Diceros bicornis minor: one gene and its partners. The protein of the gene in region 3 interacts with the protein of the main gene of each other region in a pairwise test. Links are inferred from orthologs where the notes say so. Each region holds a gene or a part of one and is shown on either strand. Other genes may lie near its edges.

Region 1 (10,883 bases), on a different chromosome or scaffold from region 3:
CCGAGCTAACATCTGATGCTAATCCTCCTCTTTTTTTTTTTTCTGAGGAAGACTGGCCCTGAGCTAACATCCGTGCCCATCTTCTTGTACTTTATGTGGGACTCCGCCACAGCATGGCTTGACAAGCCGTGCGTCGGTGCGCGCCTGGGATCCGAACCCGGGTCACCAGCAGCAGAGTGCACGCACCTAACCGCTTGCCACCAGGCTGGCCCCTGTTAAATATTTATAATGCAATAACTATATGCCAGGCACTCTTGTAGGTATTGGGAAGATAAAAGGAAGTAATCTGAATATTCCTCTGCTGGTGTTTAAGACTATAGAGCATAGTGGGAAGCAAACGTACTGTTTAGGCTCAACTCCTGGTTCTACCACTTCCTAGTTGTGTGGCCTTGGGCCAAGTTACCTAATTTCCTTTTGCCTCAGTTTGCATATATGTAAAATGGGGATGAAAATGGTGCCTACCATAAGGGTGTTTGCAAAGCTAAATGGTTTGATATGTGCAAAGTGCTTAGAACAGCGTCTGGAATACTATATATGCTGTATAAGCCTTTGTTTCTTTTCCCAAATAAAATAGATTTTGCCCTCAGGAAGCTCCCAGCCTAGTTCAGATCACCTTCTTTCCCTCTCCTTCATCGCTACAGTTGTTGAGATGACTATGGAAGCAGGAGAGGATCTCTGTGGCTCCCCAAAGGCCTTTCACATGGTTGTATTGGACACAACCTTTCCTTAATCCTAGGGCACCGGGGCAGCAGTACTATTTTTCATTACTTATACTCTGAGCACCATAAACTCTAAGATTGGGAGACACATAGTACAAATTTTAGGTTAAAAAGAGTTTTTAAATAATCAATGTGGGTTGAGAGGATTACTTTCTTTTTTGGAATTATACCTATGAGTAAAGACTAAGTAAGACATTTTATTTGTTTTCCCAGAGGACCAAGAAGTTTGAGTTTCTCAAGACAATTTAAAACTCTGCTGATGCAATTTAAAATACTTCCTCACACCTAGGATGATAGCACTCATGGCTGGAGATGCTGCTCATGGCTGGAAGATGCTGCTCATGGCTAGAGATGCTTCTCATGGCTGGAAGATGGGGATCATGGCTGACACCAAGTATTTTTTCTCCTGAAGCCATGTTTCCTAATACTACATCTACCCTGTCCAAATAAATTAGATTCAAAACATCAAAAATCATATATTATTCTTGTTATTGTCTATATCACTCTTTTTAGATTTAATAAAGATAGAGTAATAAGAAGAAAAATAGCTAACATATTCTGTGTGATTACCAGGTTCCAGGCACTGTATTCTAGATTCCATCCTATTTGCCTTTTTCAGAAATCATGTGCTAGATATGATCCCTCCTTCAACTAATTTCTTAGGTTGGCCATTCCTGTAACACAAGTTTGGTGTAAATTTAGACATGGCAGTCAAGCAGGGCACAGGCCTGGGGCTTTTATTTTTCACTAGAGACTTGTATTTCTCCAACACAGAATTCCAAGAGAAATATTTTCCACATTGCTTCTTTGGGCCAATGGGCAGAGTTTTTCTGGTTTCTTTCTTGCAGCCCTTCCTGGTTGGATGCTGTGGTCCTGCCTTGAACCTACCCATAGCCAAGTCTCCTGTCACAGCATGGGTATTAAAACTCCTGCCTTTTTTATGGCTGAGTAGTATTCCATTATATATATAAGGGATATATATATCCCTTGGTCCTGCTTTCCTCAGTGTTGTCATCATTCTCAGGCAGTTTCTACAACTGCAAGAGCAGCATGGCTCCTAGCAGATTCATAGAAAAAGAGATTTTTCCCACCTTCCCAATAGTTCTATTAAAAGCCCTGGTATCGAATCTCATTGGCTCTGTGTGAATCATGTATCCATTCAAACCAATCCCTGGCCCCAGGGTACCCCATGCTCTCTGATTTGCCAGCCCTAGGTCACATGCCCACTCTTGGAATTGGGGATGTGGTCAGCTTAACCCAATCATATGTACTGATAGTGGGAGAGATATGACTTACCACAAGGAAGGAGGGGATATGTACTGTTTTCAGAGGAAGTAGGGGATACATGCTGGGTAGGTTGATCTACTGGACTCACCCATTTGGAGATTTTAAAATGCACCTGCCTGGCTTCACATCCTCAGTGTATCTCCTTTACTTTTAGGATGAACTTCAGATTCCTTACCAAGACCTTCATGTTTCTACCAACCTCTTTGCCCCCATCCCAGTTGGGCTCTGCCTTCTTTGCTGTGGTCCAGCCACACCGGCTCTAGTTTGTATCTGATTTGGGTTGTGCTCTTTTCTGCCTCAGGGTCTTTAAACATTACTATAGACTGAATGTTTGTGTTCTCCTAAAATTCATATGTTGAAATCTTAACCCCCAATGTGATGGTATTAGGAGATGGGGTGTTTAATAGATGATTGGGTCATGAGGGCAGAGAAATAAATTTCTGTTGTTTATAAGCCACCTAGTCTATGGCACTCTGTTATAGCGGCCCAAACTAAGGCAAACATGCTGTTTCTGCTGCCTAGAACTTTCTCCTCTCTTCTATTTCCCCACCCTCATACTTTTGCTTAGCTCAACTTAAATGTCATTTCTCCAGAGAAGAATTCTTGATTTCTCAGAGTGAGTTAGATCTGTTAACTGATCTCATGGTCTCCCCTGTTCTTTTTATTTATTTATTTATTTAAATTTTACTTATTTATTTATTTTTCCCCCAAAGCCCCAGTAGGTAGTTGTATGTCATAGCTGCACATCCTTCTAATTACTGTATGTGGGACGCGGCCTTAGCCGGAGAAGCGGTGCGTCAGTGCACGCCCGGAATGCGAACCCCGGGCCACCAGCAGCGGAGCGCGAGCGCTCAACCGCTAAGCCACGGGGCCGGCCCATGGTCTCCCCTGCTCTTGTCCACAGGACTGATCACAATTCTAACAGTTACTGATTTTTATAATTATCTGTCAGCCCTCCCCAATGGACTTTATGCGCCATTAAGTCACGGACTGTGTTTTGTTTACTACCTTATTGCTAAACCCTAGTTCCTGGCACAGAGTATGGCACATGGGAATAATTTGATGCATATTTGTTTAACGAATGAATGAGTAAACAAATCAGGGTTTAAATGCTGTCTTAGTCAGCTTGGGCTGCCATAATGAAATACCATAGACTGAGTAATTCAACAACAGAAATTTATTTCTCACAGTTCTGGAGACTGGAAGTTCCAGATCAAAGTGCTGACTGGTTTGGTTCCTGGTGAGGGCCAGCTTCCTGGCTTGCAGGCGGCAGTCTTCTTTCTGCCTCACACCTTTCTGGGGGCGGGTGGTAGGGAAAGCAAGCTCTCTGGTCTCCTGTTATCAAGGCACTAATCTCATCCTGAGGACTCTATCCTCCTGACCTCATCTAAACCTAATTACATCCCAAAGGCCTTATCTCCAAATACCATCACATTGTGAGTTAGGGCTTCCACATATGAATTTTGGGGGGACACAATTCAGTCCATAGCACGTGCATTACCTCATTTGATCCTTGATAACCCCTTGACATAGGTTCCACTTCAGGATGAAGAAAAGGAAGCTTAGCAAGTTGAATCTGTCCAAGGCCACTCAGCTAGGTAGTGACAGAACTTGAAATTTTCAAACCTAGGAATATTTGCCTTAAAATGCAACTAAAGATTTTTTTGCCTCGTGAGGCCCCTGAGGCATTATCCTGTTTGGTTTTGAGCCATTTGGTCTGAAGGTAAATGTGCAAGTGTGTGAAGCAGGAACACAAAGGGGAACTGAGATGGAGAGGAGTCCGTACAGCAGATAGCAGGAGAGCACCTGGACACTGAGGGAAAAGATACTGAGAAGGGGCTTCATCCTCAGGAAGAGACCAGGGAAGTAGTCTGACAGGAAATTGGACCCTGAAGGGTTTGGAGTGAAGTTTGGGATTATGATGTCAACGATCATCAGGGAAAGATTTGACTCATCTTCCTTCACCCTCTCGGCCTTGTTCCCAAGTCCCACACCCTTTTGCTGGCTCTGACAGGTTTTCCAGAGCAAGAAAAAGAAGAGCAAAATAGGAAGGGCAAAAACAAGGCAGCCCCTACCTTCCACTGAGGCAGTGGGAGTTACAAAGTTCTCTCTGTTGAATAGGTCTTAGAATAAGAACATTTCTCCCACACAGAACCAGTGTTAAGATAAGGGTGAGGCTCTCACAGTCCTGGGAAGTCTAATTAACTCATGATGATCTGGAAATAGCACTAGAAACAATATATCTCAATTCAGATAACATTTATTGAGCTCTTTCTCTGGAGCAGGAACTGTGGAAAGTGCTAGAGATTTAAGGAGCTGTGTGTGACTTCCTCTGCCCTTAGGAAGATGTCAGCTATGTGATGATTTAGGTACTTTGGGGCACCAGCCCCTTATCTTGGTGACTGCTTCTACAGAAAGGTGAATTCTCAGTCACAGCACACAGGGTGTTGGCCATGCCCGGAACACACTGACCTCCCTTCCCCTTGTTCCCTTTTCTCATCCTCCCATTTGCAGCCACGCCTTCAGAGTGAAGCCTCTGGCCGCCTGGTTCCTGCCAAGAAGGAAATTCAGGAGCTTGGCCTACCCAGTGCGCTGGAGTTGAAGCCCTGAATTTGACTATTAAATAGCCATTTGGCCATGAGAAAGTCATAGCATCCCTGAAACTAAGGAACAAATTACATCCTCCTTGGTTACTTCACAGGGTTCTTGGGGAATATTAAATGAAATGTTATGTATGTACTTCATAAACAGTAAAGTGTTACATAATGCAAAAAATTGTGCTGATCCTCATAGAGTTGATTAGCTGGAGGGGGCCTTAGAGATCCCCTATCGCCATCCCATATTTACTGCATGCCAGGCCTTCTTCTAAGCACTTCACATCTATTAATCCTTTAATCTCAGAGCAGCCCAGTGGGGTAGATACTATTATGATCTCATTTTACACATGAGGAACAGAGAGGTTAAGTGACTTGGCCAGGGTCACACAGTAAGTGGCAGAGCTGAGATTCAAAGGCAGGCAGTTAGGCTCCAGAGCCCATTGTTAACCACCAAACCAAGCCACCTTCTGTGTGCTTCCTTAGCACCCTCTGTATACTCCCTCTGGGAGCACTTGACAGAATTACAATTGCTTGCCTTAGTGATAAAAAAGCTACTAGAAGGCAGGGATTGTATCTCATTCACACATACATACACATACACACCCCCCCCCACACCCTTGCACAGTGCCTGCCACACAGTTAGAGCTCAGTAAATATTTGTTGAATGAATAAATGTCCTCTGGAGAGATATACAGCAAGTCTGATACATCTACTGTGTTTTTCCTTCATCTTTTTCTTGGCTAACTATGCTCATTTCCCTCAACCATTTTCAATAGGAGATTGGCATTTCTCATTGTCCTCATTGTCCTGCATTGCACTTTCTCAACTTCAACAATGACCCAGCTAAAGTCAACTGCCAGGATGTAAACACTGTACTCGGAGAATAGTCTGACCAGCGGTGGGGCCTCTATGACTATCCTTTTCTGCCCTCACAGTGTATGCTCAATATTCAGGACTCTCTCAGGAGCCCACTCTTACCCCTGAACTATTTGAATGCCTGGACAGGTTCTTGACTATGAAACCAAGTACCCAAGGTGACCCTTAGGACTTTACTAGTGGTCTAGGCAGGTAAGGGGAATTCCTTCAACTCTTGCCGCCGCCCACGCCACAGCCCTCCCGTTCCCTTTCGTGGGAGGAGCTGTAAGAAAGCGAAAGAGATTCCTTAAGGTCTTAACGGAAGAAAACAGGTTATGGTCGATGAGAGAGTTGGGGCAGGAAACTGCATCTTCTAATGTGGAATCGAGAGAATTTGTCAATTTTGTTTCACGGTATGAATACAATTGAGTTTTCTTGTAAGAAAAAAGAAATCAGCGTCATTGGCCTCATATATTGGACTATATTTAATGAGATGATGGGACAAGATGTTTGAATTTGGACGTTTTGAAAAGTCCTGTATTATAGTGGACAAAAGTATCTGCGGTTTGCCTGTTGGGCTCCTCCAACTGGGAAAGTACAGACTCTCGTTCTCATCACAGACTGAAAAAACTGACGAAAAGCGAGATTCGGTTATTAGATAAACTGGCAATCACACGCACCATGAATTCTCCATTCCACCCAGGGTTTTTATTTTTAGTTGTTTGTTTTGGTTCGAGATTACTTTCGGGAACTAAGTGCCCCACCGGACAGTCCGAGCTCTGTTTTTGAGTCGGGGTCAACGCCTCCGGCCCGCAGAGCCACTCCCTTTGCGGGTAGGCGACCCATTTGCGGGAGGGCGGGGCCCGGCCGGCGGGAGCGCGCGCCCAAGGCGTCGTCGGGGGTGGGAGCGGAGGAAGGCAGGCGGCCTGGGAGCGCGCGAGGCCTCGCGTGCGCGCTCCCGCCCGCCAACCCGCGCGCCCACGCGCCCGCCTGCACTCCCGGGAAGTCTCGCGATGCCGTAGGCGGCTGCTCCCGCTGCGGGTAGCCCTGGCTGTTGCTGTGGTTGCCTGAGTTGCTGCTGCGGCGGCGACGGCGGCGGCGGTGGAGCTGGTGGAGGTGTCGGCCCTTGGGCGGATGTTGACATTGTGTTGTTGTTATTGCTGACGGTAATGGCGGCGGCGACGGCGACGGCCGGGACCCCATCTCCTCTGTAGCCTGAGCCGAGACGGCCAAGAGCGAACTCCGCGGCCTCCGAGCCCGCGGCAGCGACTCCCCTCAGCCTCCGCCGCCTCGCCAGCCCGAATCCCGGCCCCGGCTCCTGGAGGCAGGCCCCTTCGGGCAGGGGGCCTCGGAGGCTCAGGATGGCGGATTTCGACGAGATCTATGAGGAGGAGGAGGACGAGGAGCGGGCCCTGGAGGAGCAGCTGCTCAAGTACTCCCCGGACCCGGTGGTGGTCCGCGGCTCCGGTCACGTCACCGTGTAAGGCCCGGAGGAGGGCGAGGGCGAGGACGGGAGGTGCGGGGCTGGGGTGGGCCCCCTTACTCCTCGGGAGCCCTCTTCCCCGGTGTCTGCCTTGTGTCGGGGGCCTTCGGGAAGAGGAGGCGACCAGGAAGTGAGAACTTGCAGTATTTTTGTTTGTTTAGGTCTCCGAAGTGGAGACAGACGCTGCCCTTCCTCCCCTACACACCCCTCTTAGCAGGCCCTACAGGCCTGGGATGGTGACGGATCCCAGAAGAGAAGGTTTTTCTCTGGAGTCTGCCCTTCGGGCCACCCCTTCAGCTTCGGGGTGAAAGTACACGTAATGAGGTGCCTCCCCCTTGTGTTCTCATCCAGTTGCCCTGTGGTTCTCTCGTCTCGTCTGTGCCTTTGAGCCTGGTGACATATGGCTCAGAGGCCAGATCTGGGCCGTTAGAGACCCCAGTGACAATCGGTCATGGCTGGTTCATTGCCGTTCTGTCTGTTTCACACATACCCACAGGTCTTCCCAGTTTCCTGCAGAGTCAATTTCTGCGGAACTAATGCAAGTTCCTGTAATTGTGTATGATAAAAATGTGTAGATGAACATGTATTTAAGATATGCAGAACGATATATATTTTTAAAAAAATCTAGGTGATGGACACCCTCTGCTTGGGTTACTGGGGGTTGGGTTCTCTGTAATCTAAGTCCCTCCTTTGGGCATGAACTCTGGCATGGCTTCTTCATTTGATAAGGGTTCCTGTAAGTCCACTTAGCAACCTTTAAAAGTCGATATTATCCAAATAGGGAATGATAGCTTTCCGAAAGGTTATGACTAATAAAGGAATGTGAAGACTTGAACCAAATAATGAGCTGTCCGGAAGTAGGAAGTTTTGTAATGTTTCTCCGAGAAGTCGAGTTTTGTACAACTTGAAGTATTTATACTCTTTTTCATTTTAGAGCTCTTGTTCAAATCAAAGGGTCAAACCTCCATGCTTGTCAGATATCTCCACACTTCACCTTTTGGTTAAAATAAAAGGGCCAGCAAGTCTGAGACTGTTTGGAACAGTTTTCATTATATTTTTGGTATAGGGCGAGTGGGATGTGCGGTGAATAACTTTTAGTGAAACAGTAAGACTTCTCATATGAGATCCTATGTAAGATTGTCAGCAAAATTCTTGCATTGCCCAGTACATGATATGACCAGCCATATTGTTGTTTGGGTATCCTTATGTAATGCTTTGATTTTCTTAGCATCTGTTAGTTTATATTCAGGTGACTTAGGGTAAAAACACTGCATAATCACTGTCATAGTGCCATGAGAAGACAATGGAATTTATCACCACAATAACAGTTACTTAGTGTTTTAACTGTCATCACCAGCAGAATTAAGAAATATAACCAAATATCATGGATATTAAATCTTTCTTTAATATATATCACAGAACTTTTTTACTCTCATAGCCTGCCATTTAATTTTTAGTTTGGCGCTTAGGACGTTTTTACATTCTTTTAAACCTAAGGAGTATATGGGTGCTTAAAGAAGGGATTTTCAAAGTTTTTCATGTTATCTGCCCACCTTTCCCCCTACATTCCTCGTGTCAAAGAAAGCTGGCGAAGTTTTATTGTTTAGAAAGGTGCAGCTGTAGTTGTAATGTTTCCTCTGTTGAAGGAAAAGAAAAGCTAAGCGCTGTTGGGTAGATGGAAAATGTCGTAGGCGAAGTGCTCAGAACCAAATAGGTGATCAGTAAATTTGATTGTAGTTGGCTACTCAGAGAGGTTAACAGGATGGGTGAGAATTACAGGTTCTCAATCTTAGCTTCCTGTTAGAATCACCTGGGGAGCTTTAAAAAAAAACCAAAAAACAAAAACCCTGTCTTTGCCCCAGGCCAGGACAATTGAAGGCCAAGTATCTGAGTGAGTGTCCCTGGCATGGATGGTTTTTTAAAAAGTCCGACAAGTGATTCTGATGTGTAGCCAGGAGTGAAAACCACTATTCCAGAGTATAACGAGGAATGAGGAACTAGATGCTATCAGTAAACAGTATGCCTTTTTACATTGGGAGTTAATATTTCTGTGATCTCCTCAGCCACTTCCCTGTCTTCCATGTTACCTTGGTTCTAGGCTCTGGGTTCAAATCTATCCTCTGCCACTTTTTGGGTAAATTATCTATGTCTCTTTCAGTTAAGATGAAGATAGTATAGCACCTAACTTTTAAGGTTATTAAGGATTAAATGAGACAATACATTGCAAAGAATTCATCACATTGTGTGGTACTGTGTTCAATAAATATTAGCCTTTATTACTTTATTAATTATCCTCCACACCTGTAGTGTTCCACTTTGAGAAACATACATGTAAAGCAAAGTACTAAGAAATCTGAACTGCTGTATTCAAACCTAACAGTGATTCACTTTGGTCTTATTTTTTCATTTCTAAGCAATTTATATGAGGTTAAATTACTATGTGAAGTATTTTGGTGAGAATTAATAAGAATCTTTCTGCATTGAAAGCCTAAGCCTGTTTTGTGATGACATAGATAAGTATAGTAATCGTAATGTAAAACTTGACATGACTCGGTCATGCATAATTCACAGGCATACTATGCCAATGAGCAGTCCAGTTAGCACCTATAAAGGTTTTTGAAATTGGTGCTTATGGGTTACTGTAACTATTGAGCAGGTTCAGTTTTTCTTGCCTTTGAGTATAAATGAAGAGCTATTAAAACAGTTATAGTAAGACTGGTTAAGCTTATCACTGCTGCTGTCTGCACGCCTGCCACCCCCCCACCCCCCACTTTTTAAAACTAAGAGCTGTTCAGAGCAATCTTCTCTTACCAATTTGAAAGTAAATGATAGTGTAAACTGAATCATCTGTAATCCAGGTCGGTCTGAAAAGATGTAGATCTATCCATATGTGTTTTCACAGATTTCACTTTTGAGTAGACCTTTATAGTTGAATATTTCTACTCTTTTTTGTCCTTACTTTAGTATATTGTATTACAGTATTACTCTTATTTTATTTTAGAAATCACTGTATTCTCGTATGGCGTGATTTGGCATGTCATTATAGTGATGTGAGAAAGTAAGTTACCTTCCATTTTCTACTACACAGGCAGGTCTTGCTTAGTTTTGGGGCGTAATCAGATTTTGGGGACATAAGGATGCAAAATGTATAATTTGCATAAACAGTCTGCTTTAAGATGGTGTTTATTTTTTTATATATATATTTTTTTTTTGTGAGGAAGATCAGCCCTGAGCTAACATCCATGCCAATCCTCCTCTTTTTGCTGAGGAAGACGGGCCCTGAGCTAACATCTATTGCCATTCCTCCTCCTTTTTTTTTTTTTTTTTTTTTCCCTTTTTCTCCCCAAAGCCCCAGTAGATAGTTGTATGTCATAGTTGCATGTCCTTCTAGTTGCTGTATGTGGGACGCGGCCTCAGCATGGCCAGACAAGCGGTGCGTCGGTGCGCGCCCGGGATCCAAACCTGGGCCACCAGTAGCGGAGCGCACGCACTTAACTGCTAAGCCATGGGACCGGCCCCCTAAGATGGTGTTTAATACAAATATTTTCATATTGACCCCAAGTCAGGCTTACACTTCGTACTTTGAACATATCAGTATTCTTTCTTGACTTTCTTCTGGATGAGTATAATAATTTCCTTCATTGTTAGATGAAGGAAATACATTATTTCTATATGTTGCATATAGAAAATGTGGCACAGGGTGGCAGCCCCAACAGGGAGAAATCTTGTGCAGAAGCATATTTTGAGGAAAAGTGGTATTTGAAGGAAGAGAGGGAAATGATAAGTTCCTATTTTTGCATAATATTATGTACATGTGATTGAAAATGCTTTAGCTCACACTTGAATTAAAAGTAGATTTCCTGTTTGTGTGTGTGATTTCTCATTTTATTATGTAATGAAGATGAGGAAAAAAGTGGTTAATTTATTAGATAGTATTGGCCA
Region 2 (11,028 bases), about 3.0 Mb from region 3:
GTACTTATGGGTAAAAAGATATGATATCTGACATTTTGCTACAAAACACTTAGATATTAGGTGGAGGATAGATAAAATAAGAATGGTAAAATGTTGATAATTGTTAAAGCTAAGTGATGAGTACATTTTACTGTTCTCTCTACTTTTGTGGGTTTTAAAATTTCCATAATAAAAATTTGTAAAAAGAAAAAAAATGAAATGGTTCCAGACTGGTAGTTCTCCTAAGCACATGGCAGAAGCAAATGTAAAATATCTCTGGAAGAAAGCAACTTCAAGCTGGCCTTTAAGAATCCTCAAAAATAGTTTTTAAGGGCAATGGTACCATGAGTGAGAATCAACGGTAACTATTGAGCAGAAACATGCCTGCAAAGGCTTTAGATAATGGAATTACCCAATACAGATTATGAAACAACAATGTTAAATGCTATGTTTAAAGACATAAAATGAAAGCTTGAAAATATCAGCAGAAGACAGGAAAACATAAAAATGACTTAGCAGACGAGGAAAAAATAAGTAAAATTTCTAGAAATGAAAAAAATAAAATTTAAAACTCAAAGGATGGGTTTAACAGAAAGTTAGACATAGTCAAAGAAAGAATTTGTTCATTGAAGGATAGGTCAGAAGAAAATACCTAAAATGCAGCAAACAGAGTAAAAAAGATGGAAAATATGAAAATGAAGTTGAGAGGACAAAATAAATGTGTATTTTGAGAAAAAAGCCTTTAATACCACAAATCCTTATTAAAATAAATTCTTAAAAAATATACTTAAGGTGAAGGGAAATGATCCCATATGGAAAGTCTGATGTGCAAGAAGGAATGAAACACAAAGAAAGTGGGAGATTTGTGGGTAAATCTAACACTCATTTGCTAAAACAATAACAAGATTCTGGGGGTTAAAAAAAAACTAAAATAGTTGAAAAAATAACATGTAAGTCACAAGGAATATGACTGAAATAAGATAAAAAGAAAAATAAAATGACTGGAAAGAAACAAACAACACTGTCATTTTAGATGGATAATATAATTGTTTATGCAAAAAATTTAGAATAATTTGCAGTTAATTTAAAATTAATGAGTAATTTTAGTAATGCCTCAGGATACAAAATCATTACATAAAAGCCAACTGCATTGTTAATTCACTGGCAACAAACAGAAAATCTGATGTTAAAGGATAATATTTGGAATAGGATCAGAAATACATAATACTAGGAATAAATCTGAAAAACTCTATGCAAAATTTTTCAGGGAAATTAGAAAACTTTATTAAAGAAATTACAGAAAACCTAAATAAATGTAAGTATATGTATAAAACAAACTCTTGGATTGGAAGACTAAAAACCTCAGAGATAACAATTAATCCTAAATTGATCTATGGACTCAATACTATCCCAATTGAAGTTTCAATATATATATTTTTGGTAGGATTTGACAAGCCAATTCTAAAATTTATATGGAAGTATGACAAGCCCAAATTAGTTAAGACAATTGTGTTTTTTGGTGAGGAAGATTGTCGCTAAGCTAACACATCTGTGCCATTCTTCCTTTGTTTTGTATGTGGGACACTGCCACAGCATGGGTTGATGAGCGGTGTGCATGTCCGCGCCTGGGATCCGAACCTGTGAACCCCAGGCCGCTGAAGAGGAGCATGCAAACTTAACCTCTATGCCACCAGGCCGGCCCCAAGACAATCCTGAAGAAGCTTTGTAGCGCTTAGACTACCACATATTAGTACTTATTTTGAAGCTGCAATAATACAGGATGATTTTGGTAAAGTATAGATAAATAGATCATGAAACATAATAAGCAGTCTATAACGAAATCCATTCTTATTTGGACACTTGATGTATCACTGGAACAAAGAAAATTTTCAATAAATCATGCTGGAAAATTGGGAAAACAGTGAAATTAGGTCTTTAACTTTATACCACACACAAAAGTCAATTCTAGGTGAATTGACATTCCAAATGTAAACCTTTTAGAAAACGATATAGAAGACAATATTTACGACCTTTGGTTAGGGAATGATTTCTGAAATAGGACACAAAAAGCACAAACCAAAAACAAAAAGATGGATAAATTTGACAACATTAAATAATTTTTGTTCATTTATGCTACCACCTGGAGAAGATATTTATAGCATATATATCCAACAAAAGATTATATACAGAATATGTAAAGAACTCCTACAAACCAATGTAAGAAACAATCAAAAATAGGAGAAATTTGTAAACAGGCATTTCATGGAAAAGAAAATAGAAATGCTTAATAAAAGTAAAGAGGTGCTCAATGTCATTAATTATCAGGGAGATACAAATTAAAACAACAATGTTGGCAAACATGAAAACAAGTCTGACAATTTTATAACTCCTCTTTTTTTCCCTAGATTTATTTATTTATTTATTTTTGTGTGAGGAAGATCAGCCCTGAGCTAACATCCATGCCAATCCTCCTCTTTCTGCTGAGGAAGACTGGCCCTGAGCTAACATCCTTGCCGATATTCCTCCACTGTATGTGGGACGCCGCCACAGCATGGCCTGACAAGTGGTGCGTCGGTGTGCGCCTGGGATCCGAACCCGGGCAGCCAGCAGTGGAGTGCTCGCACTTAACTGCTACGTCATGGGACCGGTCCCAAGTCTGACAATTTTAAATGTTGGTGAGGACATGGAGCAATCTGAAATTTTTTTTTTTTTTTGGTGAGGAAGATTGGCCCTGAGCTAACATCTGTGCCAATCTTCCTCTTTTTGCTTGAGGCAGATCGTCCCCAAGCTAACATCTGTGCCAATCTTCCTCTATTTTGTACGTGGGATGCCACCACAGCACGGCTTGATGAGTGGTGAGCAGGTCGGTGCCCAGGATCCGAACCTGTGAACCCCAGGCCGCTGAAGCGGAGCGTGAGAACATAACCACTATGCCACCATGCTGGCCCCCGATCTTAATGTTTTTATACTGCTGCTGGGAGCACAATCATTTGGAAAACAATTTGACATTATCTAGAAAGTAGAACATGCACATATCATATGACTGAGCAATTCTACACCTATATACATACCCTAGAAGAGTCTCCAGACCAGCAGCATATGCATTAGAAATAAAAATTCTCAGCTCACTCCAGACTTTCTAAATCAGAAAATCTGAGGACGGGGTCAACAATCTGTTTTAACAAGCCCGTCTGATGACTTTAATGTACACTAAAGTTTGAGAATGATTGTCCTAGAGAAACTTTTTTTAAGACATATTTTTCTATAGCTTTATTGAGGTATATAAAATCGTTTTAAGTGTGCCCTGGAGAAACACTTGCACCATTCATAATGGCAATGTTTATAATAACAAAAAACTGGAAATGACCCAAATGTCCATTATAGTAGAAAAGATAAGTAAATTTTATATGATTGCTTGACTACTATTCAGAAATGAAGAAGGATGATCTAATACTGACACCAACATTGATGAATCGCAAAAACACAAAGATGATTTCAACAGTAATTTTCAGAAGAACAAATCTTATGAAGTCCAAAAGCATGCAAAATTAAACATAGGACGTAGGGATAAATCTTCTATTAAAAAGAAGGGAAAGATTAGCAAAAAATATTAGTATTGGTCTATTTCTTAAGATGGATGGTGACTACTCAGCTGTTCATTTTATTATTAAAAAACTAAACTGTGCATATATATTATATATGTGCTTTTGCATATATAACATGAGTTCAAATAAAAATAAGAAAAATTGATTTTGTCTAAACAGGTGTTTGTCTGTGGTCACTCATACAAACTGCTGATCAAAAGGAAGAAAAACACTTGAAGTCTAAATTTTTGAGGAAACTATATTGCATCTCAAGACTGCCTGGAAAAGCTCATGATTCTTCAATGCTTACCATCCCCCGGATCCTGCATTTGCACCAATAGGGAGTAGATTGTGAAAGTTGTACATTTCCCCCAGAAAAGACTTTTTCCTCAATGCCCACATCAGATGCTGCCAGGTGGCTTTGGAATAAACACATTTTCCAAAGAAGTACACCAGGAGCTAGGAGGGGATGGATAGGGGAGCTCCTTCCAGAGAACAGAATCTGAGGCTGCCTGATGTGATTGGTTGTGCGAGGAACTTTCTCCACTGTTGGAACTTGGAGTCATTACTGTTCCTGCCCAGCAGAATTTGGTATGTGCCATAGACTAGTGTCTTCTGGGTATTTCCCATTCTCCCCTTTTTTGAGTTAGAGTTTTTATTTTAATTATCCTATTCTATCCTCATCACTGTACTATTGGGTATTGGGTAGGGGTTGGTTGGGGGGAGCAAACAACTTTCTTGTGTTGTAGTTCTCAACTGCCAAACCATTAAGAGTTAATGACTGATAGAGAAGACTGCAGGTTACAGACGTCAAGCTGGGTACAGCAGCTGACTGAGACTTTAGGATTGCCTTCCTTAGGGGTTTGATGAATGCATTCAATGTAAAGTGTCTTTATGGGAAGAAAGGTGTGCAAGCGTATTAAGCAGTTCAAGAGGTGAGTTGTGGCAGACCCTACGGATTGACCAACCAGACACACATTTCTAACCCTCTCCTTGACCACCTCTATCACAGAGCCTGGAAAACCTAAGTATTGTACTTGCTTTCCTAGCTTCCTTCATACAACTAGGATGGCCATGTGACATAGTTCTGGCCAGTGATACATAAGTGAAAATCTTTCGGGAGAGGGGCTTCTAGGAAAACTCTTACTTGACAAAAGGAACAGCTGATGTTGGTTACTCCCCTTCTTCCTTCCTTGATTTGGATATGATTTCTAGAGCTCTTCCAACCATGGAGAAAACGCCCTGAATCAATGCCAGCAACTGTCTATCCCTCCACTTCTTTAAAGTAACAAAAACCTTATGTTTAATTAAGCCACTGTTAACTGGATTACTCTGTTATTTGCAGAAGATAGCATTCCTAACTTATACATCACTGCAAAATGCTGGTAATACCTATCTCATTTTACGAAGACTACATATGTAAAATACCTAACACCTGCCTAGGCAAATTTCAAGTTCTTCTGTCTATCCTACTTCCTAGATCAATGTAGCTACCTTTTGGAGGAAATTATAGTCCCATTATACTTTTTTATTAAAGCAGAAGTCAAAACCATATACAATATTCTGATTAGCAAAGGTGTCAGTTTTATACAAGGTTAGAATAACATTTTCTATTTGTTCCATAGTCTTATTTGTCATGCCTAATATTTTTGTTGACTTCTTTGGTCAGAAGAGTTTACTACTTCAGCATCTTCCTGGAAGAGTCCACAATTACACTAAGCCTATTTTAATTATTTCCCTCTAGATTTATTAAATTGTACTTGCCTACATAAATACTCCCCTGCCACTTTTCTATAAGCTCGCATAGCTTAGCACTTGCTGCTATTTATATTTGTTAGTCTAGCTGCTGCCTAAAAGCTGGGCTAGGTGCTCATAAAGAGAAAACTGGTAGCCGCAGCCCACAAGATGTGACTGGGGAGACTACTGAGTGGGGCTCCTTCCCCTAAAATAACCCCATTTCAGGATCACTCCTTTATCTGCGTGTTGACAGCTTTTTAACCTTAAAACGTTCCTATAAAATGCAAATATGTCTGGGAAGCTTCAAACTTTATTGGCTAAGGTTGAGTTACAAGATAACACTTTGGCGGAGAGTAATTAACAAAAAGCAGCGAGGACGTCAAAGTGGGGATGGGAACAGGCTGAGAGGAGGACCGACTTTAGAGGGGAAAAAAGGGCACTCACTGAAAAGGGAGGTAGGAGGGGCACCTAAACAATTTGTCTACATAATATTTTGCTTTTTGGACCTGAAATATTCAGGAAAGTACTTTTGAAATAAAGTATTGTAGTTCAATGAATTATTTTCCTTATTGTTTGCCGATTCTCCCTCCCAGATAATTTACAGAGGGCGCTCAAGCCGATCTCTAGGGAGCCTCCGCGTTTCCTGAGTAACGATGATCCAGGTTGCTAAACCAAATTATGGACAAATCGCCAATCGCACGGTAATTCAACTATAAAAAGATTTTGTGGATAATATTTCCAAAGGTTTAAAAAAAATCTTAACTAAATCGTTTCTATTTGTTTCTGCTTAAACCCGCTATTCACTTCCTTTGAAGAACATGTTGCTTCAGTGACACCCAAACTGGACCCAGACATCCAGGACTGTTGATTTTACGTTACACTTTTGTAAACGCCAATTTTGAAGACATTGTCGGCGATTATGGGGAGGTGGGCCTCAAACTATCCAGAACCTTCTCAAAACCGGCGAAAAGCACTGTACAAAGAAATAAGCCATGTTTTGTGCGTCCATTATATGCGAAGTATTGCACTCCTTTGTGACTTGTTACTTTACAAAGACACCTGCCAGACCAGGGAAGGGAAGCGTCAGAGGCAGGGTTTGGGGAGGGCGGTAAACAGCGCCCCCTGTCGGGCGGGGCTGTGCTGGGAGACAGCGGGTTTCTCGCGCCCCGCGTGGGCGGCCAGGCGGCAGCGCGCGCGCCCCGCGCCGGCACGGCGGTCTTGGGGCCGGGCCAATCCGGAGGCGGCCGGGAGGGGGCGCGGCCGCCGGGCGGGGCCCGCTCTGGCTCCTCCGCCGTCGGCTCGCGCGCAGGGCGGGCTCCGGGCGCGCGGCGCCGGCATCGCTCTTCCCCGCCGGCCATGGAGCGACTGACGTTGCCTCCCGGCGGCGCGGCGGCGGTGGACGAGTACCTGGAGTACCGGAGGTGAGGCGGCGGCTCCGCGGGGCGGGCGGGCCGGGAGGAGCGCAGGGGGCGCGGTCAGGGGCCCGCCGGGGCTCCCCGAATCCTTTCCCGGGCTGTTGGGAGAGGCTTACAGTGATTTCAAGTTTCGTCTTTCTGTAATTAAATATTTTAATGACACGCTGTTCTATTCTAATAAGTCTCTCCTGAGGCTAAGAGGTCTTCCTCTCCGACCGCTTCCCAGGAGGATTATTAACTCTAGCTTTATGCAAAGGTCCAATTGTTTTTTCTAAATGTCTGTCCAAGAATTACATATTGAATACGCGGGGCCTATAAAAGTTAGCAGATGGTAGTTGAGTTTGCATGGTAGTTTAGTAATAGGATAAGTCGTGAAATTCCAAACATGCTCCCAACCCCGAAGTGCTGGTTTTAGGAGAAAGCACGGACTGGTGTAGTTTCCGTGGTTCTGGAGAAACTCCTTTGCAGAAACTAGAAAAGCAGCTGCCTCTTTGGCTTGAGGACACGGCTCACTGCCCCGGGCCCTGACAAAGGCTGATGCACCTGCAGCGACCTGTTCTTTTTAAGGTCTCTCAAGAAAGCTTTTGACAGTTGGAAAACTGGGTGAGTGGGAATTTACTGGAGAGGGACAAGCAGGAGGATACTGGGGGGTGGGGCGGGGTTAATGTGTGTGTATAAAGGGGAATTGAGACAATCACAGCCCTGCCTGGGAAACCTGAGTGAGAGAGGCTGCTTGCCTGAAAGGTAGTCACCCCAGATCACCCAGGAGTTCCCTTGTTGACTGCACTCCCTCTGACTGTGTCGGTGGTATAGTTTTGGGTAACGCTTAAAAATGCGTGGTAATTCTGAGCCAGAAAAGTGAGGGTGAAGAGCTTGGTGGGTCAGGCCTCATCCCGGGTTCAGGTGGGTCCGGATAACTCCAGGAGTCCTGTGGTCAGAACAGCTTCCACCCAGCCCTCACCCAAGGCAGAGATGGCCCCTTGAGTCTCCCGGGCTTTTCCCTAGGAGCAAGTTGCTGGGCTCTGATGTTGACTGATAACTTAGATATTTAGACGTTTAGATATGTGGATTGTGGGCATCCAGCTGTAGTCTCTTGCCTGGCCCAGAAAATGTTAGGGCCTGATGGGAAATTATTTTTGCAAACATAAATAACCTGGAACAATTTGCTATAAACATTAGAGCCTTGCTACTCAAAGTGTAGCCATCATGGACCAGCGGTGTAGGCATCACCTGGGAGCTTGTTAGAAATGCAGACTCTCAGGCCCACTCCAGACCTATTAATCTGAATCTGCATTTGAACTAGATCCCTTGGGGATTCTGTAACTACAGTATCTTTTGAACTACATTGGTTTAGAATTTAAATACAAATGATCTCTTTAAAGGTCCGCATTGATCTTAAAGTCTTTCTAGTGCCTGTCGGTATACTTTTTGGTAGCTATAATAAAGCAAAATGGCTTAAAACTTTATCTCAGAATAAAATTCTCTTTGTTTTTTCACACTTGTATATCTAAATTATTTAAGGAAGAAAGTTGTGATGATTTCATGGCTTCTGAATTGGTTTTATTTATCCGCCTCAGCTAAAGGCTTGAAAATATGGAAAAAGGTATGGATTGCACAAAAAATTATATAGCATTCTGCAAACAACACTTTTCATGATTTTTAAAGGGGGATATTTTCACGGAGAAGTTTCTTCAATTTTGAACAAATTCTTTTAATTGTGCTTCCTTTTTCTCCAGGGAAACCAACTCTTAATTTATTAAGAAATTAAGAAATAATGGTGAATTAATTTTTCCCATAAAATTTTGAGGTCTTGCTTCTGGGATTAAACAATGATGCACCTGATTGCTCAACACACATGTGGGTTTGAGCTTGTTCAGATCCAAGGGTGTTTGTGGGTCCTGCATTAGTTTAAACTCCTAGACAGGGTTTAGAGTTGAGTACGGACATTAGTCATGTTGTCTTCTCTGGTGATGTTTTTTGTACTATTTTTAAAGGAGGAAAATGTTAAAATTTTTAGCAGTTGAGGTTCCAGCTTTTAATGAGAACAATGAGCATGTTTGCTTCAGAAATAAAGGAGAAATTGGGATGCATGTGTGGTAATTCTCCAGTGGTAAACTGTGATCATTCAAGTCAGATGTTATAAATTCATTGACTTTCTTGTTTATAATTTTCTTCTATATGGGAAGCAAAAGCTTTATTACCATTGTATGTAATTTTGCTATTAACTGAGCCTAAAGTAAAAAAAACTCAAAGCTGAAGCAGCCTTTCCTTTGACTATACAAGTATAGTTTTTTTTTTGTGAGGAAGATTAGCCCTGAGCTAACAGCCGATGCCAATCCTCCTATTTTTCCTGAGGAAGATTGGCCCGGGGCTAACATCTGTGCCCATCTTCCTCTATTTTATATGGGATGCCACCACAGCATGGCTTGAGAAGCAGCACATCGGTGTGTGCCCGGGATTTGAACCTGCGAACCCCGTGCCACCAAAGCAGAGCATGCGCACTTAACCGCTATGCCACCAGGCTGGCCCCATATACAAGTATAGTTTAATTTTAGAGTTTAGTATTTTTAACCTGGAAAATAAATAATTAGGGCTTAAGAGAAGTATTTTTTTCCTTCTAGAATTGTCGGTGAGGATGATGGAGGGAAACTTTTTACTCCTGAAGAATATGAAGAATATAAAAGAAAAGTTTTACCTATGCGCTTACAGAACAGATTATTCGTGAGCTGGCGATCACCAACTGGAATGGACTGTAAACTTGTGGGGCCAGAGACACTCTGTTTTTGTACACATAGGTAAGATCTTTATTCCTAAGTTTTCTGGCGATTAGAAATTATAAAACTGTAGCAGAGCTTATCTTCCTTCTATAAATAACATTATTTGTGATAACTGAGAAACATTTAAAAATAGGCCTTTATATAATATCCTGGAAATAATCTAAAGGTTTTTTTTGCTATAATTAAAAAATTTCTATTATATTCTTTTAGAACTCATTATGGAGTCCATCACCTTAAGCATCTCTTCTCTTGCCATTGGTAAGAAAGATATGGCGCCCCTGTGGCTTTGCTGGGGGTCTTTTGGTTAGGCTGGGAGTGGAGTCTACCTCTCCCACCGCTGGACAGATAGCAGAGGACTGCAGAGTTGCTTCAGTGACCTACACTGAACAGGTTACCAATTTACAAGTAGAAGGATTTCTCCTCAAATTTACTAATCTCCCTTTATACTTTAAGAAATGTGTTGTGTCGATACCTTTCTTTAAACAAACAAAAATACAAGCACACAGCTTTTTATTACAAATGGTCCTTTTCCGGGGAAAGCACATGGAAGAAAGGAATACACGAGGCTTCAGTCGTTGACGTGTGTTGCCTGTACCTGAGGGTTGCATTTGGTTATGTGTCATGTTCTACTTAAAATTATTCTATTGTCACAGGTCACAGTTGTAAAGCTCAAAGGGACAAAGCTGCTTCACGGAAAAATCACTGAACCTATAATGTATTTTTAGTTAACAACTTTAACTTTTCCAAAGGAACCACGGAGGGAGAACTGCCCTGTTGTAATAGTTTCTGGGGCTCTTTGATGAGAGACTCTTTGTATAGTTGCTGTTTACAGACTTGCAGTTTGCCAAAGGTTGTTAGGCAGTTGCTAGGATGAGTAATGTTGTATATAGATTGACTTGAGACTTACATAGCAACCCCAAGGAAAATACTGTGGAGGAATGGAGGATGAGGTTTGCGTTGATATCTTTCCAAACTGCAGAGGAGTTTGGTAGATTGTGTTAGTTTTATCATTTATTCTTGTACAAATTTAGTGCCAGTCTCTAATCTATGTATAATTATACAGCATGGAATTAACCTTCAAAATGGACTCAACCCAACTTCGATGGAAAAGTTTTCTTTAGTACTAGTCACTCAGTGAGATCTCTGCCTAAACTATTTTTTTTCCCTATTATAAAAGCAAAACATGGTTATTAAGGAAAATGAGGAATATACAGAAGAGTAGAAAAAAGACTCACCGCCGAAAGCCAGCTGCTGTTCATACATTTTGCTATATTCATGAAATTTTTTCCTTATGTCGTTCATTTAGTTGTTGTCAAATATGTGTGTGTATAAATATTGAACTAATTTTTCATGACAGAATCACAGAAATACGTTTCCACGTTGTTATGTAGTAATCGCAAACAAGATTTTTAATACCTGCTCGGTGTTTCAGCTAGTCCAGTGGTGTTCACTGTGTGTTGTCGAGCGGTGAGGGCGTCTCAGGGTGCACCAGGTGGAAGGGCAGGTTAGGGGAAGGACAGAGTCCAATTCTGGCTC
Region 3 (10,816 bases):
CCAAGAAAACCGCGCTGCCGCCCGCCTCGGCCGCCGCCGCCACCGGCCCTGCCTGCCTCAGCCACAAAGGTCAGTCCAAAGACTTGGCCCCAGGTCCTCGGGACCCTCTTCCCCCTCTGGGCTGCCCCAAGAGCCGTTATGGGGGGAGGGAAGCGTGGGCTGAGAGAGAAGAGGGAGAGGGAGAGGTGCTTGGCTGCCTTCCCTTCCCCTGTGGGCTCAGGAGTGGGTTTGATGGAGAGAAAGGGATCCTGCGCTCCACAATGAGACATATATATATTTTTAAGAAGGGGGGGGGGACTTTCCCTAACTTGTGTAATGTGGGATGATTTATTTGAGTTGGAACTGACCTCCTCTTGTCTAGTTGTCTTAGAGTTTGGCTTTTTGACAGTAATGAAGAGTGATAGATCGCTCTTGCTCAGCTAAGCAGCTGATGCATTAATTATAAATTGTGGTGTGGCTAATATAAAGTTTGCTTCCGGATGGAGAGGTTGGGGGAAGCTAAAGGCAGGAATTTGATGGAGGTGGAAGAGATGGGGTCTCCCCGGGCTGGGCTCCCAGGAAAGGCAGCACAATAGCTCTACTGCATCCAGGGGCGGCCATTTTGTTGCAGTTGATCTTTTCTGCTATATTTATTCTCCAGTGGAATAACCCCGCTCGGACCCCTCCACCTCCAACTGTGCGTGTGTCTCTTGTTGGTTTCCCTTTCCGCAGAATCCCTGGAAATCGCCGATGGCAGCGGCGGGGGCTCCCGGCGCCTGAGAACTGCTTACACCAACACTCAGCTTTTAGAGCTGGAAAAAGAATTTCATTTCAACAAGTACCTTTGCAGACCCCGAAGGGTGGAAATTGCAGCTTTGCTGGATTTGACTGAGAGACAAGTGAAAGTGTGGTTTCAGAACCGGAGGATGAAGCACAAGAGGCAGACGCAGTGCAAGGAGAACCAAAACAGCGACGGGAAATTTAAAAGCCTGGAAGACTCTGAGAAAGTGGAGGAGGATGAGGAAGAGAAGTCGCTCTTTGAGCAAGCCCTCAGCGTCTCCGGGGCCCTTCTGGAGAGAGAAGGTTACACTTTTCAGCAAAATGCCCTCTCTCAGCAGCAGGCTCCCAATGGACACAATGGCGACTCCCAGAGTTTCCCAGTTTCGCCTTTAACTAGCAATGAGAAAAATCTGAAACATTTTCAGCACCAGTCACCCACTGTTCCTAACTGCTTGTCAACAATGGGCCAGAACTGTGGCTCTGGCCTAAACAATGACAGTCCCGAGGCCCTCGAGGTCCCCTCTTTGCAGGACTTTAACGTTTTCTCCACAGATTCCTGCCTGCAGCTTTCAGATGCAGTCTCGCCCAGTTTGCCAGGTTCCCTCGACAGTCCTGTAGATATTTCAGCTGACAGCTTTGACTTTTTTACAGACACACTCACCACAATTGACTTGCAGCATCTGAATTACTAAAAACATTAAAGCAAAACAAAGCATCACAAAACAAAAACCCCTTTGACCAGGTGGTTTTGCCTTCTTTTATTCTGAGAGTTGATTTTTCTTTTATTTTCTTCCCAGCCTACCCTCTCCCTCCTTTAAATGTTGACGATTTTCTGTTTAGTGATTCCCCTGACCCAGTTTCAGAGCCATCTTTTACAGATTATTTTGGAGTTTTAGTTGTTTTAAATCTCATCCAACAACCCTCTATGTGATTTCCTGAAAGCAATATATGAGGCCTGCAAGAAAGTGATCATATAATTGTATCTTCACTTTCTTTTTATTTTTGTATTACATTAGGATGCATTGTCATGCGTATTTTTTGGTAGAATAAATTCTCCTTTGCTATAAGTAGCTTTCTTATTTTTTTCTCCCCCTCTTTCTCAAGGCTCATAATGTTTTCTTTTTCTTCGTTTAGTCTAACTTGGTAAATAAAATTCTGGTCACGATTCATCTTTTTCAATTTTAATATATTTATTAAAGGAGCATGTTTAAAGTCATCAATAAATAGCAACAAAAAAGAAAGCCAGAAAATGGTTAGGGCTTCTGAGAAATGTTTTGCATTTTTTTTTAAGGGAATGGATTTGGTTTTTTAGTGTAGAGGTTCAAGCCATAGATTTAAACTGGTAATAGAAACAGGACTGGGCAGCCTCCGAGTTGGGCCAAGCCCAAGCTTCTGAAAGTGGAGAAATAAAGTGCCTACAGAAACCCCCAATTCCAGGTTGGAGGAACATGGAGTTTCTTTAACAAGCTACCAGTCTCCAGTCAATAACATAATAAGTTATCAACAATTCATTTATTTATACACATTTGTTTCAAACATCTATATTCCAACCCCCTCCCCCACATATCCCGCACATTTTCAGTGTGGTGGATTAGTCTCCCAGCTGTTGATGGGTCCAGGCAAACAGACCTAAAAGAGAAAAACAAAAATAAAACAAAACAATGGTTACTAGCTGGAAAATACATTTCAGAAAGGGTTCTTTCCAATTCTCTGGTTCAGTCATTCTAGGATTCGTTTTTTCAGGGTCATAAAATCAATATTTCATTCTTAAATCTGTTTACATGGCAAATAATGGATCATGAAAGCTTTGAAGTCAAGTTAGTAAGTTGAGATTTCAAATGGAGTGTTTCTGCACCCTAGGTTATAAATTAATCCAGTTTCTAGAAAGAGAAAGAGAAAAAGCACTTTAAATGAAATATCAATAAAATGTGATCTAGGGTATGTTACTGGGTTGTTCTGTTTTTTTTTTTCTCCCTTCTAAGTCTCCCCATGTTTATTTTTCTCCGTACTGAGCTGTTCTGATGGCTCCTTACTTACCGTGAGAAAACGCAGCGTGTAAGCAACATGTGTGGGGGCGGGTTGATTTAAGAACCCGGCTCTTAATAGCAAAGGCTTGGAAGTTACAAGGAAATCGCGGTCTTTCTCCGTGGGTTTGCTCCCTACCTTTCCCCACCTCTTTGCCCCCTAAATCCCCGCAGCGGCGGAGGCATGTGAGGACCCCGGCAGGTCTCCTGCCCTAAGCGCTGAGCGAAGCAGGGCGGCCCGGCCGCGGCCGGGGCTGAGCCGCTGCCGTTTGCGATTCGTCCTACGCTCATAAATCAAACGCTTTCCATGAATGAGAATGTCATCAAAGAGATCAATTGCAGGAACACATGCACAAATAAAAATCCTCTTACGTATTTGCCGGGGATCCCCGTCCGAAAGCATTAAGTTAGAAGGCGTTTAGTCATAATTCATTTTTATTGCTCTTTTAAAACAACAGCTTGGCTGAGCCGCGGATGCCATGAACAGCTCCGGGCCTCGGCGGCGTTTTGTCTCCTCCTCGCTCCTTCCCTTTCTAGTAGAATAGCCCTGAAAGAGGCGCTTTGAGCCCAGCAAGCCGCTTGCAGGCGATCATTTAAATAGGGACCAAGCTCGCCTATTCACCCACTCTCCGGTGGCGTTTAAAGACACTTCAGCTCGAGTCGTGGGGCCCCGGCCTACTTGTCCACAGGACCAAGGGTCTCCTACGCGGGGGAATGAGCCCCTGGATTTCGTGGGGGTGGGGAAGGAATCGAGGTACGGAAGCCTGCGGGCTCGAGGCCAGAGGAGGCTGCCTTTGTGAGCGGCACCGGGAAAGCAGCGCTCTGGGCGGCCAGCCGGGGCGGAGCCGGCTCAGCCGCGAGAGCCCGGCCTGCAGGGAGCGGGAGGCAGTGCTGGGAGGCGGGTCGGTCGCCGACCCGTGTGTCTGCGGGCCTGTGTGCGACTGCAAGCTTGTGATCTCAAGAAAAACAGCCCACCCACCCTGGCCCAGAAAAGAGGCCTGGAGGGAGGAAGAGAGGTGGAGGGAGAGGCGCGCAGAGGCCGAGAACTAGCAGAGGAAGGAGAGCGGTGGAGGCCCGGGGCGGCTTTGTGGCGTGAGCCCTGTGGCCGAGGGGGTCGCGCAAACCTGGGCCGAGGAGGCCAACAAAAGGACAGGAATGAGGCAAGCGGGGAAGAACGTACCGACAAGCTTCGGCTCGGAGAGCATATTGTCCGCAGTGCCAGCCCCTCACGTCCTGCCTCCTCCCCCACAGGAGCGCCTTCTCTCCCCGTCGCTAGAGGACTGGCTCTCCCAAGGAAGCCGCCTCCAGGAGGGCTGCCTTGCCTTGCCTTTTCCCTTCTCTAAGATGAGGTTCCCCAGGTGCAGAAATTGGGGCAGGAGTGACCTTTCCCGCCTCTGCTCCCTCTTAACCAAGATTGGGGATGGGTCAAAGGTCACAGGAAAATACCATTTCAAAAGGAAATGTTTAGGGAGAATGTTTCTCTGCTACTGAGGGAATCCATAGTCAAATGTTTGCAAGAGTTTGTCAGCAAATGTCCCTCTTGCGGGGACAGGTTTGGGGGGAACTTCTCTATGTGGAGAACAGAACGCAGAATCCTGAAAAGTTGACTAACATTAAGGATGTGCCTGCCTCAAGCAAAACTTCCTTCTTCTAACTGGGGAGGGAAAACTAGAGGGGAGTGGGAACCCCAAATCCACATACAATCCTCAGGTACATTTCATCTGTCAGATTCCCATGGGGTAAACATGGTCAGAGAAAAATCTATACAGCCTTAGCTGCAAAGCTTCTTGGATGATCTCTGCATTTCTTTTACCTAAGAATGCATCAATTCTCGGCCTCTGTTTGGCCTTTTCTCTCTACAAGCCAAGGGTTGACACGAAACCTAATAGTAAACAGCAATTAACGACCCCATCAGCATCAGGGTAGGATGAGAGTGATGGAAAACAGGACCCCTGGCCTGGGATGACGCTGAGATTTGCACGTGTCTCTCTGGGGAAAGACTTGAAGGTTCACTCAAGCAACTACACAGTCGGTTACAAAGGGGAGGAGGTGGTGTTGGGGGAGAAGAAAACGTCCGGTTCACCATCAGCCATCTGTCTACCGCCCCTCCCACCTGCCAGCCCCCACTCCCACTTCAGACGTGCAGTAGAATGGGGTGTGGATGGATAAAGGAAGCTCTACCACTCCTAATATCCTCCCCCAGAAAAGGCGAAACGTTGCGGGGGAGTTCAGCGTACTTTGTTGGAGCTGTGGTCTCACCCCTTGAGGCCCCCACCGGAGCAGCGCTCAGGCTCCTGGATCCTGGGGAGCCGGCAGATGGCCTGCAGCGCACGGCCCGGCCCCCACGCTGGCCACGTCCGCTAGCGTCATCTCTCTCCCCCGCCTCCTACCCCTCAAAATCCAGTGTCCGAGTATCTCCAGATCTCGTAGGGCTCCCGGACCAAAGCTGAGTGGGGAGGAGAAAGGGGCGGAGAGCGAGGAGAGAGGGAGGGCAAAGAGCCGGGCCACCCGCGGCCTTTTCCGGCAAGCGTAGCTCCTAGGGCTCACCCGTTCCCGGGCGTCGAATTACAGAAACTCCTTATTGCCATGTTAATAGCCAGTGTGTGTGCGTCGGAGTGGGGGGAGCTTCGGAGACCCTCCGCGGAGAAGGGAAGTTTCTTTTCTTGCCCTCGTCCCCTCCACGCCCACCCAGGTTCCTCCCAGCCAGCTCTCTGCGCACTTCCCTCTCCGTTCAGAGGTTGGAGAGCTGGTGGCCCAGCCTCGTGCGCTCCTCACTGCCCCACGGCACCACAGCAGGAACTGTGCAGTGAAAGCGCCCGGGGACCTGCCCTTCCAGCTCGGCGCGCCTCCGGGCTCAGCCTGTGTGCTGGAGGCCGCCAAGCGAGCTCCGGCCCACTGATTCCCGACCCAAGAGAGAACGGAGCCCTCTTGTCTTCTCACCTCTTGCCAGTTCATCTTTCTTTGCATGGTGGGGAGGGAGGCGGAGACGGGGGATGCCTCCAGGCCCCCACCTCCTGGAGGTGGGGGGGGCGAGCGGCGTCGGCGCGCGCAGAAGGCAGCCTCTGTTCCCCTTCACCCCAGCGCTCCGAATCTGCCCTTGCAGCCACCGCAGCTGCTGCCGCCGCCTGGGCTGCCTGGGGGGGCGACTGCGCGTCACCCAGACTGAGGAGCGCCGGGGATTTAAATGCCACTGAAACGGTGATCCATCACCGCGCGAGCCAGCAAACTTTCGCAGGAGGCTCCGCCATTGGTTTATTTAGTCACGTGCCCCTCCCCAAGCGCCCTCCGCCCTCCCGCCCCCCCTCTGGCGCACTGTACATTCATATCATTTTTCTTCTCCGGCCCCATGGAGGAAGTGAGAAAGTTGGCACGGTCAACCAGGGCTTCACAGGACCCGGTCACTCAGTGACAGATGGACAATGCAAGAATGAGCTCCTTCCTGGAATACCCCATCCTCAGCGGTGGCGACTCGGGGACCTGCTCAGCGCGAGCCTACCCCTCCGACCATGGAATTACAACTTTCCAGTCGTGTGCAGTCAGTGCCAACAGCTGTGGCGGCGACGACCGCTTCCTAGTGGGCAGGGGGGTGCAGATCAGCCCGCCCCACCACCACCATCACCACCACCATCACCACCCCCAGCCGGCCACCTACCAGACTCCCGGGAACCTGGGGGTGTCGTACTCCCACTCGAGTTGTGGTCCAAGCTACGGCGCGCAGAACTTCGGCGCGCCTTACAGCCCCTACCCGTTAAATCAGGAAGCAGAAGTAAGTGGTGGGTACCCCTCGTGCGCTCCCGCTGTTTACTCTGGAAATCTCTCATCTCCCATGGTCCAGCATCACCACCACCACCAGGGTTATGCCGGGGGCGCGGTGGGCTCGCCTCAGTATATTCACCACTCATATGGACAAGAGCATCAGAGCTTGGCCCTGGCCACGTATAATAACTCCTTGTCCCCTCTCCACGCCAGCCACCAAGAAGCCTGTCGCTCCCCTGCATCAGAGACGTCTTCTCCAGCGCAGACCTTTGACTGGATGAAAGTCAAAAGAAACCCTCCCAAAACAGGTCAGTCTTGCCATTCTGTGGATGCTTCTTGATGATTCTGGAAGGAGCTGGTATGCTTAGTTTCCAAGTAAAATTAATAACGGCTTTTTTTAAAAAAGTTCTTGCTTCCTACCGGTGTTGTAGGGCATGGGCACATTGCCCAGGTGTGTTGGGGCAAAGGAGCATCTGGGACTGTTGTGTTTCCAAAGAGGCTGACTTTTAGAGGTTCTGGGAGTAGGAAGTGGGTAGGTCTGTGTGTGTGTGTGGGGGGGGGGGTTCTGTTAATATCTCCAGGCTCCATTAATCACCGGTCTGACCACGCTAATGGCTGACTTCAGATTAACACTTTACACCTCATCACTCACTCTCCCCAGCCCGGTTTGTGGAGAAATTCTTGATCTCGCCTTTACCTGAATGTTGCTCTGAAGAGTGTAGGGGATTTCATATCGATTGTAAAAATTTTATCTTTTTCTCTTTCATCACTTCCCACCCTGCCCCCAGGGAAAGTTGGAGAGTACGGCTACGTCGGTCAACCCAACGCGGTGCGCACCAACTTCACCACGAAGCAGCTCACGGAGCTGGAGAAGGAGTTCCACTTCAACAAGTACCTGACGCGCGCCCGCAGGGTGGAGATTGCCGCGTCCCTACAGCTTAATGAGACCCAAGTGAAGATCTGGTTCCAGAACCGCCGAATGAAGCAGAAGAAACGAGAGAAGGAGGGCCTCTTGCCCATCTCTCCGGCCACCCCGCCGGGAAGCGAGGAGAAGGCCGAGGAATCCTCAGAGAAGTCCAGCTCCTCGCCCTGCGTTCCTTCCCCAGCGTCTTCTACCTCAGACACTCTGACTACCTCCCACTGAGGCCGCCCCCAGCCCCAGACTCCACAGCCCAGGCTACTCCTCCGGCTGCGACTTCTTACCCAAAGCACATTCTTAGCTTATCTTCCTTTCCATTTACAGCCTCTCTCTTCCTTTCTGATCCTATCTGGGGAGCTCCTGGCTAGAATAATGTGTTTCCAGAGAATTCTAGACTAAAGGTTCAATTGGTGGTGGTGGTGATGGTGGGGCGTTAACTCCTTAATGCAGATTGGGTGCCAGCATCAATTTTCTGGTGGTCCTTAATACCCCTCCCTACTTTTGGGAGATTTCCACAGAACTTACTGTTCCTTTCAGATGCCCTTTGGAAAATAGTCTTCTTTGCCAGCAGAAACATGTCAGAGGAAGGCCTCTCATCTTTTATCTATCTGTATATTTACAGTTCTCCCCTACTTTGCCCTTAAAGTAGGATGGAGAGAGAGGAGAGATTCCAGGAGCTCACGAAGAAGAGATGCACTATGATCATGTTTACACAATTAATTCATCTCTTAATTTAATTGTTTCATGTGTGTGAGTTTGCTGGTTGTAAATACTTTGTCCTGAGAGATTTATCTTTATACAGATTTTCTAGAAACGTTTAGATTAAGCAACTAAAACAGGGTGGGGCAAACTCTCAAAGCTGGTACAATTTTAGATGTGATTATAGGTTAAACAATTAAAGCCCTCATTTAAACTCAATCAGATGCCTCCGAGGATAGTCTCAATTTCTTCTTTCAGTGAGTTCAGAAGGCCTGCAGAACACAAGGTTCAGAAACCTTGCTTCCTGTGCTGTCTCTCTTCATCCCCACCCTTTCTGGTTTCTCTGGCCACACTCTATTTAAAATTTGTGCTGGATTATTGGGAACCTAAAAGTATTCTTCAAATCAGCTTCTTCCTTCCACAGTTATCTTAGCTGGATATGATTTATTTTCAGCTCAGTTGTTAATGTGATGGATGGCACAATGAATGTATATTTTGTGTGATTCGTGAATAGTCTTTTGCATGTCGCACAATGTTTTGATGTCCCTAAAGTACCACACTGAGTTCTATCAGTTATTCTTTGTGAGTCTATGATATTCCCCATTTCCTGTACAATCATGAACAGCTCTGAGATCCTGGAGTGATGTGATCCAGAGCAGAGTTTACGGGTCTTAAGATGTCTGTAATAAATATATTCAAGTTTCAGATATGTTTAAGCATCTGTTTGGCTTAGTTATAATCTGTTGGTTCCTACAAAGTTGGTTCATTTCATGCAGGGAAGGGGATAAAAGTGGTGTGCATTTTCAAAGAGGTGGGCCTTTTCTTGAAAAAAGTAAATGCTTTCCATTATGTAGCTGAAGCTTCTCCTAAAGAGTGTAATTGCACCTAACCGAAGTCTATTTAACAGATTGATTTTCTTTAAAATAAATAGTTCCTTTATTATAATCAAAATTCATAATGGAAAAAATGAGTGATAAAGAAATTTATGAAGCAGATCTATTTTTGAAACAAACATGGATACTTCCTGGGTCAAGTGCTAACCTTTTGACCTCCAACTGAATGTTGACGTATATATAAACAGAACCCCCTTCAAAAGCTGAAACTCTTCAGTCAGTCTTTCCTCACATCAGTGAACCAAGAGCTAAGAGATTCACATTTAATTAGCTCCAGTATAAAGCTGTTTGAGGATGGGTCCCCCACCCCACCCTTCTTCCTTCTTTTTGGATTGCCAGAGAGTGTTCCAATATATTCCACTCTTTTAAACTGAGTGTAGTCTGTTTTCAGTAAACCTTTGCATCTCTCCTCCCATTCCTCTGGTCAGTATCCACCCCTTCCTGCCACTTTCCACAGCTCCCCCCTCCACCCCTCTGGGTTACACATCTCATTCCCATCAGATTCAGCTTTGATTTCACAGTCGTCATGGCTGTAATGGATCCGCAGTTCCAATTCCATGCCACATAACCCAGAAAAAAAAGTTTGTATTTTCTTCTCTGGGCTCAACAGGTTCCTCCAGGTAAACTTGTGGAAGCTGCCGTGAAGTCTTTCAATATTCAAGTTGCTTCCGATTAAGGCATGTCTCTGCTCTCAAACAGAGGAAGCCAGCAAATCAAAGAGTTCAAAGTGGCTCTCCTTGTAGACTTCTTACCACTTTTCCTTTACTTTCACACTTTTTTGGAGGCTTTAATTTAGCCCCAAGAGTAGAGCAGAGATTTTACAGCATCACAAACAAAAACAGACATATGATTCCTTCCTCTCCAAAGGGTGTTTTACAAAGGATGTGCAGGGGGCCAGGGGAGAAATCCTACAAAAACTTGGAATTTGCAGGCCTCCTAGAACACCCATGAGATTTCCTGTACTTCCCTGTCAAAGGGGGCAAGCCCGGACTTTTCAGGCACAGTTACTGCGGCCATATCAAGGGCATCGGGTGCTCTCTCCTCTGCTCCTGGGTTCTGGGGTTGCCTCTAAAAGACCAAGTGGATGGGGGAGAACTTCAAAGTCAGCCAACTCTTTCTTTCATTTCCCCGCCAGGCCTTACACAGTATCTTTTGTTTATTAGTGTAAGGCCATACAGCAAAACAGATGGCCGGTTTCCAAATACTTTAATGTGTTAAAATGTCATTTGCATGCCACTGCCCTGATTTCAATATCTAAAAGCAGGGCCCGACCAGCTGGAATCCCGGAGATTCTAATCTTCAAGGTGCTGTTTTAATGTAGCTGAGAGAGAGGAGAACGATAAATTATGGCTGAACATCCCAAGACTTCTCTAGGTCATGGAATAAATCAGTTAACAAGCAATGCATTTAGGAAACATTAATATACCTTTCAACAAGGAAAACATTTGTATCTTTTTAGTTGCCCCAATCGATTAAATCAAAGGCGCTTAACACATCCTATTTCAAGGTCTCTCTTTTTCTGTTTTGGTCTCTGAGGAGCACAGTTAGCTCCTTGAAAAATGACAGCAATGGTAACTGAAACAACAAAAGAAGAAAAACAGAAAATAACATTTTATGAATAAATTTAAAAAGGACAAGAGTCTCAATTAAGGACTTGAGATAATTGCAACATAAATTTCCAGTTTTCAAATGCTTTTTCCTCACTTCCCTCACTTTCATTCAAAGTACTCCTGAAATTCAGGGTGTCCCCAAACCATGCAGAGTTG

The links. The genes of interacting proteins can lie anywhere in the genome.
Region 1: the proteins of HOXA1 (region 3) and CHIC2 interact in binary tests that used the Homo sapiens proteins (3 or more experiments, as listed by UniProt). The two-hybrid records come from large-scale screens. The link is inferred for Diceros bicornis minor from reciprocal best matches to the Homo sapiens genes HOXA1 and CHIC2.
Region 2: the proteins of HOXA1 (region 3) and FAM221A interact in binary tests that used the Homo sapiens proteins (3 or more experiments, as listed by UniProt). The link is inferred for Diceros bicornis minor from reciprocal best matches to the Homo sapiens genes HOXA1 and FAM221A.

What each region holds. Positions count from the first base shown.
Region 1 is NC_080747.1:42,072,246-42,083,128, reverse strand, and holds the start of CHIC2 (cysteine-rich hydrophobic domain-containing protein 2), read left to right. Parts: upstream 1-6,503; 5' UTR 6,504-6,819; coding exon 6,820-6,938; intron 6,939-10,883.
Region 2 is NC_080742.1:48,952,317-48,963,344, forward strand, and holds the start of FAM221A (protein FAM221A), read left to right. Parts: upstream 1-6,648; 5' UTR 6,649-6,656; coding exon 6,657-6,721; intron 6,722-9,336; coding exon 9,337-9,510; intron 9,511-11,028.
Region 3 is NC_080742.1:51,927,250-51,938,065, reverse strand, and holds HOXA1 (homeobox protein Hox-A1), read left to right. Parts: upstream 1-5,904; 5' UTR 5,905-6,195; coding exon 6,196-6,847; intron 6,848-7,327; coding exon 7,328-7,683; 3' UTR 7,684-8,862; downstream 8,863-10,816. Other genes in the region: HOXA2 (homeobox protein Hox-A2), read left to right, coding at 1-69, 712-1,451. UniProt on the Homo sapiens protein: Sequence-specific transcription factor. Regulates multiple developmental processes including brainstem, inner and outer ear, abducens nerve and cardiovascular development and morphogenesis as well as cognition and behavior.